3 linked regions of the Macaca fascicularis genome follow. The protein of the gene in region 3 purifies or fractionates together with the protein of the main gene of each other region. This does not show direct contact. Links are inferred from orthologs where the notes say so. Each region holds a gene or a part of one and is shown on either strand. Other genes may lie near its edges.

The links.
Region 1: the proteins of POC1A (region 3) and CORO1A purify together in Homo sapiens (affinity purification with mass spectrometry; 3 studies listed by BioGRID and IntAct, counting the BioPlex papers as one, with this or other methods). This does not show direct contact. The link is inferred for Macaca fascicularis from reciprocal best matches to the Homo sapiens genes POC1A and CORO1A.
Region 2: the proteins of POC1A (region 3) and NUDC purify together in Homo sapiens (co-immunoprecipitation; 3 studies listed by BioGRID and IntAct, with this or other methods). This does not show direct contact. The link is inferred for Macaca fascicularis from reciprocal best matches to the Homo sapiens genes POC1A and NUDC.

What each region holds. Positions count from the first base shown.
Region 1 is NC_088394.1:27,912,541-27,916,920, reverse strand, and holds the start of CORO1A (coronin-1A), read left to right. Parts: upstream 1-1,451; 5' UTR 1,452-1,571; exon of another isoform or gene 1,572-1,617; intron 1,618-1,994; exon of another isoform or gene 1,995-2,633; intron 2,634-3,054; 5' UTR 3,055-3,055; coding exon 3,056-3,253; intron 3,254-4,380. UniProt on the Homo sapiens protein: May be a crucial component of the cytoskeleton of highly motile cells, functioning both in the invagination of large pieces of plasma membrane, as well as in forming protrusions of the plasma membrane involved in cell locomotion.
Region 2 is NC_088375.1:208,182,307-208,186,637, reverse strand, and holds the start of NUDC (nuclear migration protein nudC), read left to right. Parts: upstream 1-1,402; 5' UTR 1,403-1,526; coding exon 1,527-1,607; intron 1,608-3,871; coding exon 3,872-3,949; intron 3,950-4,331. UniProt on the Homo sapiens protein: Plays a role in neurogenesis and neuronal migration. Necessary for correct formation of mitotic spindles and chromosome separation during mitosis. Necessary for cytokinesis and cell proliferation.
Region 3 is NC_088376.1:115,229,715-115,234,188, forward strand, and holds the start of POC1A (POC1 centriolar protein homolog A), read right to left. Parts: upstream 2,821-4,474; 5' UTR 2,487-2,820; coding exon 2,469-2,486; intron 1-2,468.

The DNA.
Region 1 (4,380 bases), on a different chromosome or scaffold from region 3:
TCCACATGACAGGGCTGTCCCTCAGCCTACAGGTCACCCCTCTAGCCTTGCCTGTTGGCTCTTCCTCATCCTTTTGGGCCCAGCCCAGATACTTTGTAAACAAGAATGACAAGAGCTAACTTTTTTTTTTTTTTTTTTTTTTTTTTTTTTTTTTTTTTTTTTTTTTAATGAGACAGAGTCTTGCTCTTTCACCCAGGGAAGACTGGGTGATGCAGTGGCTCAGTCTTGGCTCACTGCAGCCTCTGCCTCCTGGGTTCAAGCTATTCTCATGCCTTAGCTTCCTGAGTAGCTGGGATTACAGGTATGCATCACTACACCACGCTAATTTTTGTATTTTTAGTGGAGATGTGGTTTTACCATGTTGGCCAGGCTGGTCTCAAACTCCTGACCTCAGGTGATCCGCCAGCCTTGGCCTCCCAAAGTGCTAGGATTACAGGCGTGAGTCACCACGCATGGCCGAGAGCTAACGTTTATTAAGCCCTCGCCACTTTCTAGATGAGGTCCTTACTGACTTTCTTGGGTTATTTTAGGTAATCATACCCATACCTCTTACGTGGCAGGTATGACTGTTACAGAGGGAGAAACCGAGGCTGAGAAAGGCTAAGTAGCGGCCACATGTCACTCAGCAGGTGACAGGCTGCGGTCGCACTCATGACATAGTCTGACTCTAGAGCAGGCCTTTCCTGCCCGCTGTTGCTGTCTCCAGAAACCTCTCTGAATCTAAGGGTGGGAACTACTCCTCCTTGCCCTCGAGCCTTCGCCAAAGCCGGGCTTGGAGCGGCCGTGGGCTCCTCCTCCTTCCCCCAGGCTGGGCTCTTCACGGGCGGGAGCCTGCCTGGCTCGCCTGCCTCGCTCGACCCTGTAGCCCCTGGCACGAAGTAGGTGCCCGTGATGCCGAATTATTTCAGCAGGAGGGCAGGGGTGTTCCCGATGAAGACAGGAGACCAGGGAGGAGAAGCGACTCCCGGGGCCACCCATGTGTAGATCTCGGAGCCAGGCAAGAGCCAGGTCCCTTGGGTCCGGGAGCGCGCTCGGGGCTCCTCCTCTCCCGTGCCCCCCGCGACCCCCGCGCTCCCCGCGCTCGCGTCTGCGGGGTCGGGAGGAGGGGGCGGCGTCGCCGGGCCGGGGCGGACACCGAGGCCTGGCGGGCGGGCCTGGAGCGCTTTCGTGCCTGCCAGGGAAAGGCTGGAGAGGAGGCTAGGGGCGGACGCAGGGAGAAAAGAAGCAACGGGGTGTTTTTGCCTTTTGACATTTTAAAAAGAAGTGCAGATTCGCTTCCCGGAGCCGGGCTGGCAGCCTGCGCTATGGTTAGGAACCAACGTGGGGCGCGGGCTGAGGCAGGGGAGGGAGGCGGCCGCAGCAGGGGCCCGGGAGCGCAGGGCGGGCCTGGAAGAGCTCCGCCCCAAGGGGCGCGGCCACCCTGGAGGCGGGCGCACGGCTGCTTCTCATTCATTGTCTTGACAAGAGCATCCTCAGCGGGCGAGTCCCCGGCTCCTCCAGCTCCTTCCTCCTCTTCCTCCTCCTCCTCCACCTCCGGCTTTTGGGGGGTCACTGTCCTCTCTCTGCAGCAGGTGAGGCTGGGCCCAGGAGGCGCGGGTGGACCGGGGCGAGGGCCACCTGTGGGGCGGCGCGCGTGTGGGAGCCGCGGGTTGCGGGGGCGCGCGGCTGTCACCGCGACCCAGCCAGCGCCGGGGCCAGGGAGCGGGCGCAGCAGCCCGTGGGGGGACGCTGCCTGGAGTGGGGGCCGCCGGGGCCCCAGAGCGCTCTGCGGAGGCGAGGGCGAGGGACCACCGCGGCCAAGATGGAGGTGGGCGGCCGGGGGTTAGCACAGTGTCGAGGGCCCGACTCCCCCCGGAATTAAGTCTCGGGGAGGGTGGGGACGGGGACAGGGTGGGGTGAGTGGGGCAGCTGCCCTGGGCTTGGAGACAGGAAGGGGTTGAGAGCAAAACAAGAAAAGACCAAGTTCCCCTTTCCGTGGTTTCCGGGCCTGGTACCTGCGGCGGGGGAGGAGGCAGGGTGGGGCGATGGCTTCCTGTCCCCCACCTCTGGTCCGGGGCTCCTCTCTCTCCAGACCCTGGCTGCTCCTCAAGACGGGGGCTCTTCACGTACGCTCCTCACCGATCTTTGGGCAGGCCGACCTAGCAGCCTCTTTGGGAGTCCTGGGGTGGCCAGGGGTGTTGGCGCCCCCAGTGAGTAGGCGAGGCTGAGGCTAGGGGCAGAGGCTCTGGGCACGGTACCCTCTCAGCGGTAGCACAGGCCCCTTCCCTGAGCAGGAGGGTGATGCGGTGGCACAAGGTCGTCCCTGGAGTTCCTTGCTCCCCACCAGACACTGGGGGAAACCATCCTAGCTGGACATCAGAGCAGTTGGAGTGGCTTCTCCCTTCCTGTGTGCATTTCACATGGGGGTGGAGATGGCTCTTAAGGGCACCTGCTTTTCTGAGCGAAGGCAAGAGGCAGAGGTATGGGGAGGAGAAGATACTGGGACCTGAGCCAGAGACCTGCTGGGGAAGCCATCCTGCCACCTCACTCCCCTCGGGCAGCCCCCACGCCACTTCCTCCTGTGTCCAGCCCCGCACCGGCAGGGGAAGGAGGCCAGCCCCTGTCCCTGCCTTTAGGAAGCGCTGTGTGGGTGTGAGGGAGGTGGGCTCTGGACACTGTAACTAAGAGAGAACCCACCCTCAGAGCCATCTGGGCTGATGACGCCTGAGTCTGAACCATTAGGAAGGACGGGCTCTGCATCCATCAGCCAGTCAGTCAACAAACATGCAGTGGGGGCAACACCACGCCAGGCTCTGTTGCAGAGGCTGAGGGTACAGATTGAGAGTGTGACTCAGAGTGGCCTGGGGCCAGGGAGAAGGGGGCTTGCAGGTTAGATGGAAGGAGAGGCCAGGGAAGGCGAGCGGGCATAAGCCACAGAGGAAAGGATAGGGAGCCCCTGGAGATGATGCTGGGACCTCAAAAGCCAGACTGAGGGGTGTCCTGGGGGAGGTGGGGACCACTGGAAGATCAGAGTTGACCCGAAGGGAGAAATGCTCTTATCCTGTGTGCCCCTAGAATGAGCCGGCAGGTGGTCCGCTCCAGCAAGTTCCGCCACGTGTTTGGACAGCCGGCCAAGGCCGACCAGTGCTATGAAGATGTGCGCGTCTCACAGACCACCTGGGACAGTGGCTTCTGTGCTGTCAACCCTAAGTTTGTGGCCCTGATCTGTGAGGCCAGTGGGGGAGGGGCCTTCCTGGTGCTGCCCCTGGGCAAGGTGAGCCCCTGGGGCCCTGGGGGTAGCAGCTCCTCCACCCGACCCATGGCTCTGTGGAGGTCCTGATTAGGTGACTGTCATCAGGCCTTCCAGGGCCTGTGTTGCCATCTGGAAAACTGAGCTGGGCCCCATGAGCCTTACACTTCCTCTAGCTCCTCTGTGCTGTGGCTGTGTGGAAACTGATGCTCAGAAGGAGCCAACACAAGATGGGTCACACCAGTGACCAGGACTACAGACAGTCCTGCAGGCCCATGACCAGCCCTTCTGAGCCTCAGCCTGGGGCTGGAAACACAGAGAGGGCTGTGATGGGGTCTGGGGGCCCCCGACTGCAGACAGTCCTGCAGACCCATGACCAGCCCTCCCCAGCCTCAGCCTGGGGCTTTCTCCCCATGGAAACACAGAGAGGGTTGGGATGGGGTCTGGGGGCCCTGGCAGCATTCTCAGGGTTGGGGGGGACTCTGGCTCTGGGCCTGTCTTAGGACCTAGCAACTCTGGCCCCCAGCTCGCAGGCAGGGATGATGCAAGAGGCACTCTCCCCGACCCCAGCCCTGCCCTCCCCTGGAGCCTGCTGCCCTCTCCGCTGGCCATCTGCTGCCCCACACCCCCAGCACACTCCTGTGCTCTTTGAGGGGTAAGACAGGAAGGGGAGATGGGCCCCAAGTTGTTACCTTAAAAGGGCCGATGGAAGCAAAGAGAAGAGGAAGTGGTTGTGGGGCTGAGAGATGGGCCCGCACCCCGCACGGCTGTCACACAGGAAGCCCTGCTGAAGCAGCTGTCCCCGGAAGAAGCCATTTCCAAACCTCTGCTTCTGCCTGGGGCCAGTTATGACAGGCTCCCCGACCCCTCTCCTTTTGGGAGGACCCACGTCTGCAGCCCCACCCCTCACACTCACTCTCTGGGGAGCCGCCCCTACCCCCCCAGCCCTCATACACCTGTCCTGACTCCAGGGCCAGTTGTGCCCATGGAAGCCTCACTCGGGAAAGCTGGGGTGGGGGTGCCAACCCTAAGGGCAGAGACAGACTGAGACAGAGACGGGCGGGAACTCCACCAGGGTTTCGCACGGGCCCCATCCTCTGCTATGCGTGGCCAGCCCTCCTGGGGTTTGCCATTTGGGGACTGGAACAAGA
Region 2 (4,331 bases), on a different chromosome or scaffold from region 3:
TACTAAAAATACAAAAAAAAAAAAAAAAAAAAAAAAGAAAATTAATTGGGCATGGTGGTGCCTGTAAGCCCAGCTACTTGGGAGGCTGAGAATCACTTGAACCTGGGAGGCAGAGGTTGCAGTGAGCTGAGATCGTGTCATCACACTCCAGCCTAGGCGACAGAGCTAGACTTTGTCTAAAATAATAATAACAATAATAATGGATAGACTAGAATAAACTGTAGAGAGATGGAAGGTGAGGGAGTAGAGAAACAAGCAAACAAGCTTGCTGCAAATGAGAGCTGAAAATTGGGGAGGTAGCAGCAGAAGAAAGTGGGGTCATGGAATAATAATATAAAAACAGCGCTGGGCATGGTGACTCAAACCTGTAATCCCAGCACTTTGAGAGGCTGAGGCAGGAGGAGTGCTTGAAACCGGGAGTTTGAGACTTAGCCTGGGCAACACAGACTCCATCTCTACCCAAAAAAAAAAAAAAAAAAAAAGCAGGGCTTGGTGTGAGCCTGTAGTCCCAGCTACTCTGGAGGCTGAAGTGGGGAGGATGGCTTGAGTCCAGGAGTTCAAGGCTGCCGTGAGCCATGATGGCGCCACTGAACTCCAGCTTGGGTGACAATGCAAGACCCGCACCTTTAAAAACAAACAAAAAGACATTAAGGCATGTTTGTAAATTGAAGGGAAGAATAAAGGTATTTGTGATGCAGAAGCTAAAAAAGGGATAATTAACAGGCATAGAGTTCCTGAAAAGACTAAGATGATGAGATTCATTGCAAAAGTGGAGGGATTAGCTTGGATGGCTGGGTCCTGTCCCTGCATTAACAGAAGTGAAGGTCAATTTCAGCACCTGTCATAATTTCCTGGGCCCTGTGCAAAGTGAAAATGTGGGGCTCCTTATTCCAAAATTATTAAGAATTTCAAGACTACAACAGAAAAGCATTAAATCAAGCGTGGAGCCTTTCTAAGCCTGGGTGCTGCAATTTCTACTCCCATGAAGCTGGCCCTGGTCAAGTATGAAATGAGGTCGATGAGAAGGAGGCTGTCCTGTGGTAAGTCCCTTCTAGGATTGGAAGAGATGAGTAAGGCTACTTTCAGCTTCACTGTTCTACAAGCTGGGGGGTCACTAGCAAGGGAGAGGAGCAAAACTTGTCCCTTTTTAACTTCCAACTCTGCCAGATTTGAGTCCAGGGCTTTCTAGAAGTCTCCACGGCATCGGGTGACCATAGCAACTCATGCCAAACTCTCAAGCCCACGGCTCCGCCCACCGCTTCGTGGACGCGCTTGTTGATTGGCTCAGAATGTCGACCAATGGTCGGCGAAGCGGGTTGCTTGCCGCACGGTCAATGGCCGCGAGCCGGGAAGAAGGCGGGAAGAAAGGAGGAGGAGGCAGGCCTGCAGGGGCCGCGCGGGTGCGTGTTTCCGGCTCCGCTGCGGAAGGCGGACGACTAGAGTCGTTGGGCCCGGCGCGATCCGAAGGAGCCTAGAGAGCGCGGGACTAGAGTGCAGAGCTCGGGACGTGGATCGGAGCCGGCGCGATGGGCGGAGAGCAGGAGGAGGAGCGGTTCGACGGCATGTTGCTGGCCATGGCTCAGCAGCACGAGGGCGGCGTGCAGGAGGTAACGGTCCGCGCGGCGTCGGCCCATCCGGCGGCCCTGGCCAAGCTCCTTCCGCCCTTCTCTGCCTTCCAGGGCTGAGACCCACCCCTGGGGCTCGCGGGCTTCTGGGATGCCCCCACATTCTCACCGCGCCCAGCTTCCGGCCTGGCCACCCGCTGGCGGTCTCACCCGGTTCGCATCAGTTCTGGGCCCCCGGCGCCCCTCAGTAGTAGCAATTATCGCGTCCCTGAGCTTAGGATTCCCCTTTAGTTTCACATATACCCCCAACCCCGTTTCCACTTTCATGGCGTCTTCCGAGGAGCATCCCTTAGTAAGAACCGTGCCAAATACAGTGATTTGGATCCACCAAGGCTTGGGGCGAGCCGTCGAATGTGTGTGGTAGGGGCGCGGGGTGATGTTAGCACGTGGTCTTGTTAGGCCTTGAATGGGGGAATAGGAGAGGAGGCCTGTATTCACGATTAGTTTCCACCACCTACCAACTTGGAACCTTTACATCTCTCCAAGCCTGAGTTTCCTTGTCTGTGAGACAGCTGCGAATGCCGGTTTCCCGAGAGTAGTGAAGTACCGTAAGTTCTCAGTAATAAGGCTTTTTCATTCAACAAGTATTTGTCGTGTGATTAATGTGTGTCCCACACTCAACGCGACTGGGGATACAAAAACTTGTCCTCGCCCTGATAGAGCTTACAAAGAGCATTTCAAAGAGATAATTCGTGCACAGTGACAGACACGGTAACACAGTGTATGAATAATAAGGGCCAACTGTTCCAGATTCTGGAGTTGGTTTTTTTGGAACAAACACAAAGTTAGAGGTAGAAAAGTCCGTCAGGATCAGAACTGTCATTCTCAGAGCCAGAAAAGTGGCAGGGATTTGCCTAGATCATACAGCGTGGTCCTCACCTGGACAGGTCAGTGTGCTTCCCAGAGTCCATGGCTGATTGTGTCTCACTGGAGGTAGGTTTCCATTGAACTTTCTATTGCTATGTAACCCAGGTGTCTGGTGACCAAGGATTTCTAAGCCCTTTGTGGTGGGGAGAGTGCTTCTAATTTGGAAGTGTGAAAAGCCTTCCTGTCTCCATTCCTCTAAACTGTTTACACAAAACTGGATTTGGGAGTGAGTTCATTTTTGAACAAACTGAAAAAGTGTCTAGAAGCAAGAATGGAAATCACTGATATATGTTCTAGCGTCAGATTTCATCAGATTTAGACCCACTCTTGGGCAAATAAAGGGCTTGTGTGTGCTGACTTTAGGTCACCGCTAGATTGTTTCATTCAGCAAGAATTTTACTGAGCATGTACCTTTAGCTGTATCTGGTGCCCAGCATTGCAGGTGGCAGATAGACTAAGCCATGGGTCATGGTCCTATTTGTAAGGTGTTTACCCTCTGCCAGTGGGTCTCTTGCTCTGTGCCATACGTGGCTGAAGGCCTCAACTCCATGACCTCATGATCCTCACCAGGTCCCTAGAAATAGGTACTGCATCTTATTCCTGTTGTACAGAGTTAAGAAACTTCTGCAAAGTCAAAAGGTAATATATGTCCGTCAGATACTCAAACCCTTGGCTACACTTGTACTCCAGCCAGAGTTAATCCATCTTATCCTCCTTTGAAGTGCTTCATTTGCTCTCCTCCGTCTTGCTTTGACCCAGTAACTTAGTGTCTTTTTTTTTTTTTTTTTTTTTTTTTAGACAGAGTCTCACTCTGTCACCCAGGCTGGAGTGCAGTGGCATGATCTTGGCTCACTGCAACCTCTGCTTCCCGGGTTCAAGTGATTCTCCTGCCTCAGCCTCCCAAGTAGCTGGGATTACAGTTGCCCACCACCGCACCCGGCTGATTTTTGTGTTTTTAGTAGAGGTGGGGTTTCACCTGTTGGCCAACCTGGTCTTAAACTCCTGACCTCAAGTGATCCGCCCTCCTGAGCCTCCTGAAGTGCTGGGATTACAGGTGTGAGCCGGTGTCTTGATGGGGTTTTTAAAGCTGGGCCTGGGCTTTTCATGCCCTGGATGCAGAGGAGTATTGCATACACTTAGGCTGCTTCAGGCATCACAAGGAAAATGAAACGCGCACACTCACACAGGATATGAGAAATCTGCTTCATGGTGGAAGTAACTAAGAGAACCTGCTGGGGAGATGTCTCCTCAGTTGGGAGGCTCAGAGGAAAAATAGTCAAGTCCCAAGTTGCCTCCTAGACAAAAGAAGTTGACTTGTGTGCACTTGAAGGGCTCCCAAATGGCAGCTCCACACCTTTAATCTTCTCCCCATCTTTCAGCTTGTGAACACCTTCTTCAGCTTCCTTCGACGCAAAACAGACTTTTTCATTGGAGGAGAAGAGGGGATGGCAGAGAAGGTAAGTGTTGGAAACTGCTCTCTTTTCGGCAGCTCTGTCTCTTCAGAAGAAAAACTCACCTGGTCTTCCTTTGGCATAATAGTAACTAACTTTCAGCAGAAGCGAAATGTCAAAGGTGAGGAGTTGGGGAAGGGAAGGAAGCTGTCATTTCTTCGGTCTCCACTCCTTGCTCAGCGCTCTATCTACCTTATTTCCCATGATTTTTGCAGTTCTACAAGAGGGGCAGGTGTTAACTATCCCCGTTGAGGAAACTGGCTCAAGAGAGTTTTGCACCTTATCCAAAGTCTTGAGCTGAGCTATGGGAGAACCAGGGTTGAAACCAGTCTGTTGAAAACCTGCCCTCTGTCCCAACACAGTGCCTCTCAGTTCCTTTTCCAATGAG
Region 3 (4,474 bases):
AGCTACTCAGGAGGGTGAGGTGGGAGGACTGCTTGAGCACAGGAGTTCAAGGTTGCAGTGAGCTGTGATCACACCACTGCACTCCAGCCTAGGCAACAGAGCAAGACCCTGACTAAAAAAAAGTAGTTAGCCGGGCACAGTGGCTCTGCCTGCAATCCCAGCACTTTAGGGGCCCAGGCGGGCAGATCACCTGAGGTCAGGAGTTGAAGATCAGCCTGGCCAACATGGTGAAAACCCTCTCTACCAAAAACACAAAAATTAGCCAGCTGTGGTGGTGGGTGCCTATCGTCCCAATTATTTGGGAGGCTAAGGCAGGAGAATCGCTTGAACCCGGGAGGAGGAGGTTGCAGTGAGCCGAGATCGCACCACTGTACTCCAGCCTGGGCAACAGAGTGAGACTACTAATCAAAAAATAAATAAATAAAATAAATATAATAAAATAAAAAATAAAGTAGTTAAACATAGTTAGCAAATGACCCAGAAATTCTAGGTAAATACCCCAAAGAGTTGAAAACATGGTTTACACAAAAACTGGTACACAAATGTTTAGAGCAGCATTTTTCTTAATAGCCAACAAGTGAATAAACCCAAATGTCCATCAACACATGACTGAATAAACTAAATGTAGCATATTCATACAACAGAATATTATTCAGCCATAAAAAGGACTGAAGTGCTGATGCTTGCTGCAACATGGATGAACCCTGAAAACATGCTAAGTCAAAGAAGTCAAACACCAAAGGCCACATTTTGTCTGATTCCATTCATATGAAAAGTTCAGAATAGTCAAATATATAGAGACAGAAAGTATTAATATATTAGTGATTGCCAAGGGTTGGGAGAAAATGGGGAAAGGGAAGAAGTGGCGTGACTGTTATTGAGTATGGAGTTTCTTTTTGGGATGATGAAAATATTCTGGAATTAGTGATTACAGCTGCACAACACTGTGAATGTACTAAAAGCTACTGAACTGTACACTTTAAAAGGTGAATTCTATGGTATACGAATATCTTAATAAAGTTATGTTTTAAAAGCCTAGAGAGAGAAAACAGGAACCTTACAGCATCCCCCAACCTTTTCTCAGGAATCAGATCCTATCACCTCAATGCCACCACAGACTGGCCAGTGAACCCAAAAGGTCAGCCCTGGACAGGTCCCCATGGCATCACCACCAACTCTACTCTACCCAACATCAGAGAAACAGCAAGGCCATTCAGGACATTGCTTAGGAAAACACCAGAGAGAATATTCCGGAGACTCTGTCCTTCCAATAGCAGCTAGGATCTCAACACTTGAAAGGTTATAATTCAGTCACCCAAACAACTCCCCCTACACTAAGTATCACAAACCTCAAAGAAGCACTCTGGGTGCTCCAGGAAGCACAAAGGCTCCTCTTGGGAAAGGATGTCCTTGGGGCATAGCAAAGCCACCCTACACAGCAGTAACCAGAACAAAGGCTCTATGGCCTTGTGCCCAGCTCCACCCCTAACGCACCTGTCAGAGTCTCCTTTCAACAACAGAGAGAGAAGTAGCTGGGGGAGGGTCCCCAAAAGAGCCTTCTGCTCTCACCTGAGCTTCTTGAAAGAACATGGGTAAGAAAGTGTCCGCCTCTAGGCTCAGCAGGCAGAGGCAAGTTCAGGTCCACCCCTGACCAGTAGGTCCCGTGATATCTCTCAACACCGCCTCCCCTCTGTAGCTCCCTGCATGTGGGCCTCATCTCCCTCAACAGTGGTTTACACACGGGGTGGGGAGGGGGGGAAGGGGGCAGGAAGGGAGGTAGAGTACCAGATTAGGAGTCAAAAGGGTCAAAAGGTCGGTATCCTAGCCTGGACTCTCCGTCCACGTCCTCAAGTGCCTCAGGGCATCACAGGCTACCACCTACCCTCCCTGACTCTCCAATCAGCCAGAGGGCCAGGCCGCCTCAGGGCATCACAGGCACCCAGCCTCCCTGCCTCTCCTATCAGCCAGAAGGCCAGGCCCGTTCAAAGGAATCTCTCGAAATGAGGACCTCTGCAGGAATGTGGACTCAGAGAGGGCGACTCCACCCGGCTCACACTGCAGGCCCGGGCATCTCAGCGTCCTGCTGTACCCCTCTGCTGGAGCAGGGTGTACCCTCAACAAGACCCTACGCAGCCACCAATTGCTAAGGACAGGGAGAATGACTACAGAGGCCCGATACCAGTCCCAGGTCACACATGAGTCAGGACTTGGTCGTGTGTCCCTCGCTAGGATGCAAACGATGGAGGCAGAGGCCTGTTTGTTCGCTCCAGAAATCCAGCGCAGGGCCTGGCACGCAGGAGGGGCTCAGAAAGTGCCCGACCCAGCACAGACGGTAAACTGGTCCTGAAGAGGACCACCCTGGAACCTGGCGCCCCACCCGCCCCTCGCAGCCATCGCTCTGGCCACTAGGCGCCCAGTGTCCCAGCGGGGAGACTGAGGCCTGGGGAGCTGCAGTCGGCTGGGCTTACCGCGCAGGGCGCAGCCATGGCCGGGCTGGCGGCGCCGAAGGCAGCGGCGGTGGCCGTTGCGGCCCGTTCAGTTTCCGCGCCCCCAACGGCCACCAATAGCAACGCGGGCCGCGTCGGCACGCCCCGCCCACCGCAATTAAAGGAGAAGCGCCTCAGCTTTTTGCCCCACGACTGGAAGCAGAGCTGGGTGACCGGCGGCCGGCGCCACGGTCTCCGTACCCAGTTCCCCAAGCTCAGAAAACCCACAGACAGCGCCGCCAAAAGCCTCTGTCTGCCGCCACTCGTTCCGCCTGAGAAATTAAAAGACCCAGGATGAGGGGTTCACCCCACCAGCCCGTCGTCCGGCTACTCTAACGGCGAGCGCAGCCTGCTGGGAAATGCAGTTCAAAGTCGCCCACGCCCCTATATCTGGAGGAAGGTGGAACTACACTTCCCAAGATGACGTGACGGCGGGCCGGGTTTTACCACCCGAAAAGACGGCCTTAAGGATCCCGGAAGTGGAGGACACGTGGGTTGCTGTGACCAGATTGCCTTAAAGCACCCGCGCGCGCCGGCGCAGCCAGGTTTTCCCGCAGGAATCTATTGAGAACTGAGTATTCGCCCCTCGGGAACTCTCAATGGTTCGCCCGTCCGAACGTTCTTAAGACAAGTGTCGATTTAAAATAACATGAGTTACTCGGAATCACAAACATGGACTGGAGAAATCTAGGTTCGATTCTCAGTTCTCGCCCTGATTGGCTGTGTGATCTCAGGAAAAACGCCTCTGCTGTGTGCCCCAGTTTCCCCATTTGTAACACGAAGGAGTGTGGTGCAGCCCGGCCCTGTCAGGATCCTTCAGGCCTAAGAAGCTGTTAGAGACCCAGTCTTCAAAAGAAGGAGAGGCCGGGCGCAGTGGCTCACGCCTGTAATCTCAGCACTTTGCCAATTTGGGAGGCAGAGGTGGGTGGATCACCTGAGGCCAGGAGTACGAGACCAACCTGGCCAACATGGTGAAACCCCATGTCTACTAAAAATACAAAAATTAGCCGGGCGTGGTGGCACGCGCCTGTAAACCCAGCTACTGGTGAGGCTGAGGGTGGAGAACTACTTGAACTCCGGAGGCAGAGGTTGCAGTGAGCCAAGATCTCTTCGCCGCTGCCCTCCAGCTTGGGCAACAGAGGGAGACTCCGTCTCAAAAATAAATAAATAAAAAATAAAATAAAATAAAATTTGAAGGCCACCAGTAACCATCTGAATGGACTCCCTGCTTGGCCAAGGCACTCTAAAATTTAACCTGAAAGAGTGGTTCAGGCCATAATGGGAAGTGGGGGTTGGACATGCCTCATTATACCCTCCAGCGTTAACATCAACACAAAACAAGTCTGATGAGAAACATTTACCATCTATTTTCTCCGAAACCTGCTACTTGGAGGCTTCATCTGCATGGTAAAACCTTGGTCTCCACAACCTCTTATCTTAACCAAGATATCCCTTTCTACTGATAATAATTCTTTCAACCAATTGCCAATCAGAATATGTTTAAATCTACCAATGACATGGAAGTTTCCCACTTTGAGTTGTCTTGCCCTTCCAGATCAAACCAATGTAAATCTTACATGTATTGATTGATTTATTTTGTCTCCCTAAAATGTATAAAACCATGCTGTGCCCAGGCCACTTGGGCACATGTTGTCAGGACCTCCTGAGGCTGTGTCATGTGTGCGTCCTTAACCTTGGCAAAATAAATTTTCTAAGTTGACTGAGACCTGTCTCAGATATTTTGGGTTGACGGTTTGGCAACCACAAAAGGATTCTGAGTGGAGGTGCCCCTGACCTTTGACAGATCTCCTACCGGTGCTTGGTACCAGCTTGAGCTATCTTTATGGCTCAAATCTATAGGACAATTTGCTAAGGCCTGGGAGCCCCGCTCCACGTTCCACAAAATTCCTGATCTTCCCAAATTTGGTTAACATCTAAAGTTTATTTTACCGTACAACTCCTTTTTCTGGAGTTTTACTTGTTCCAAC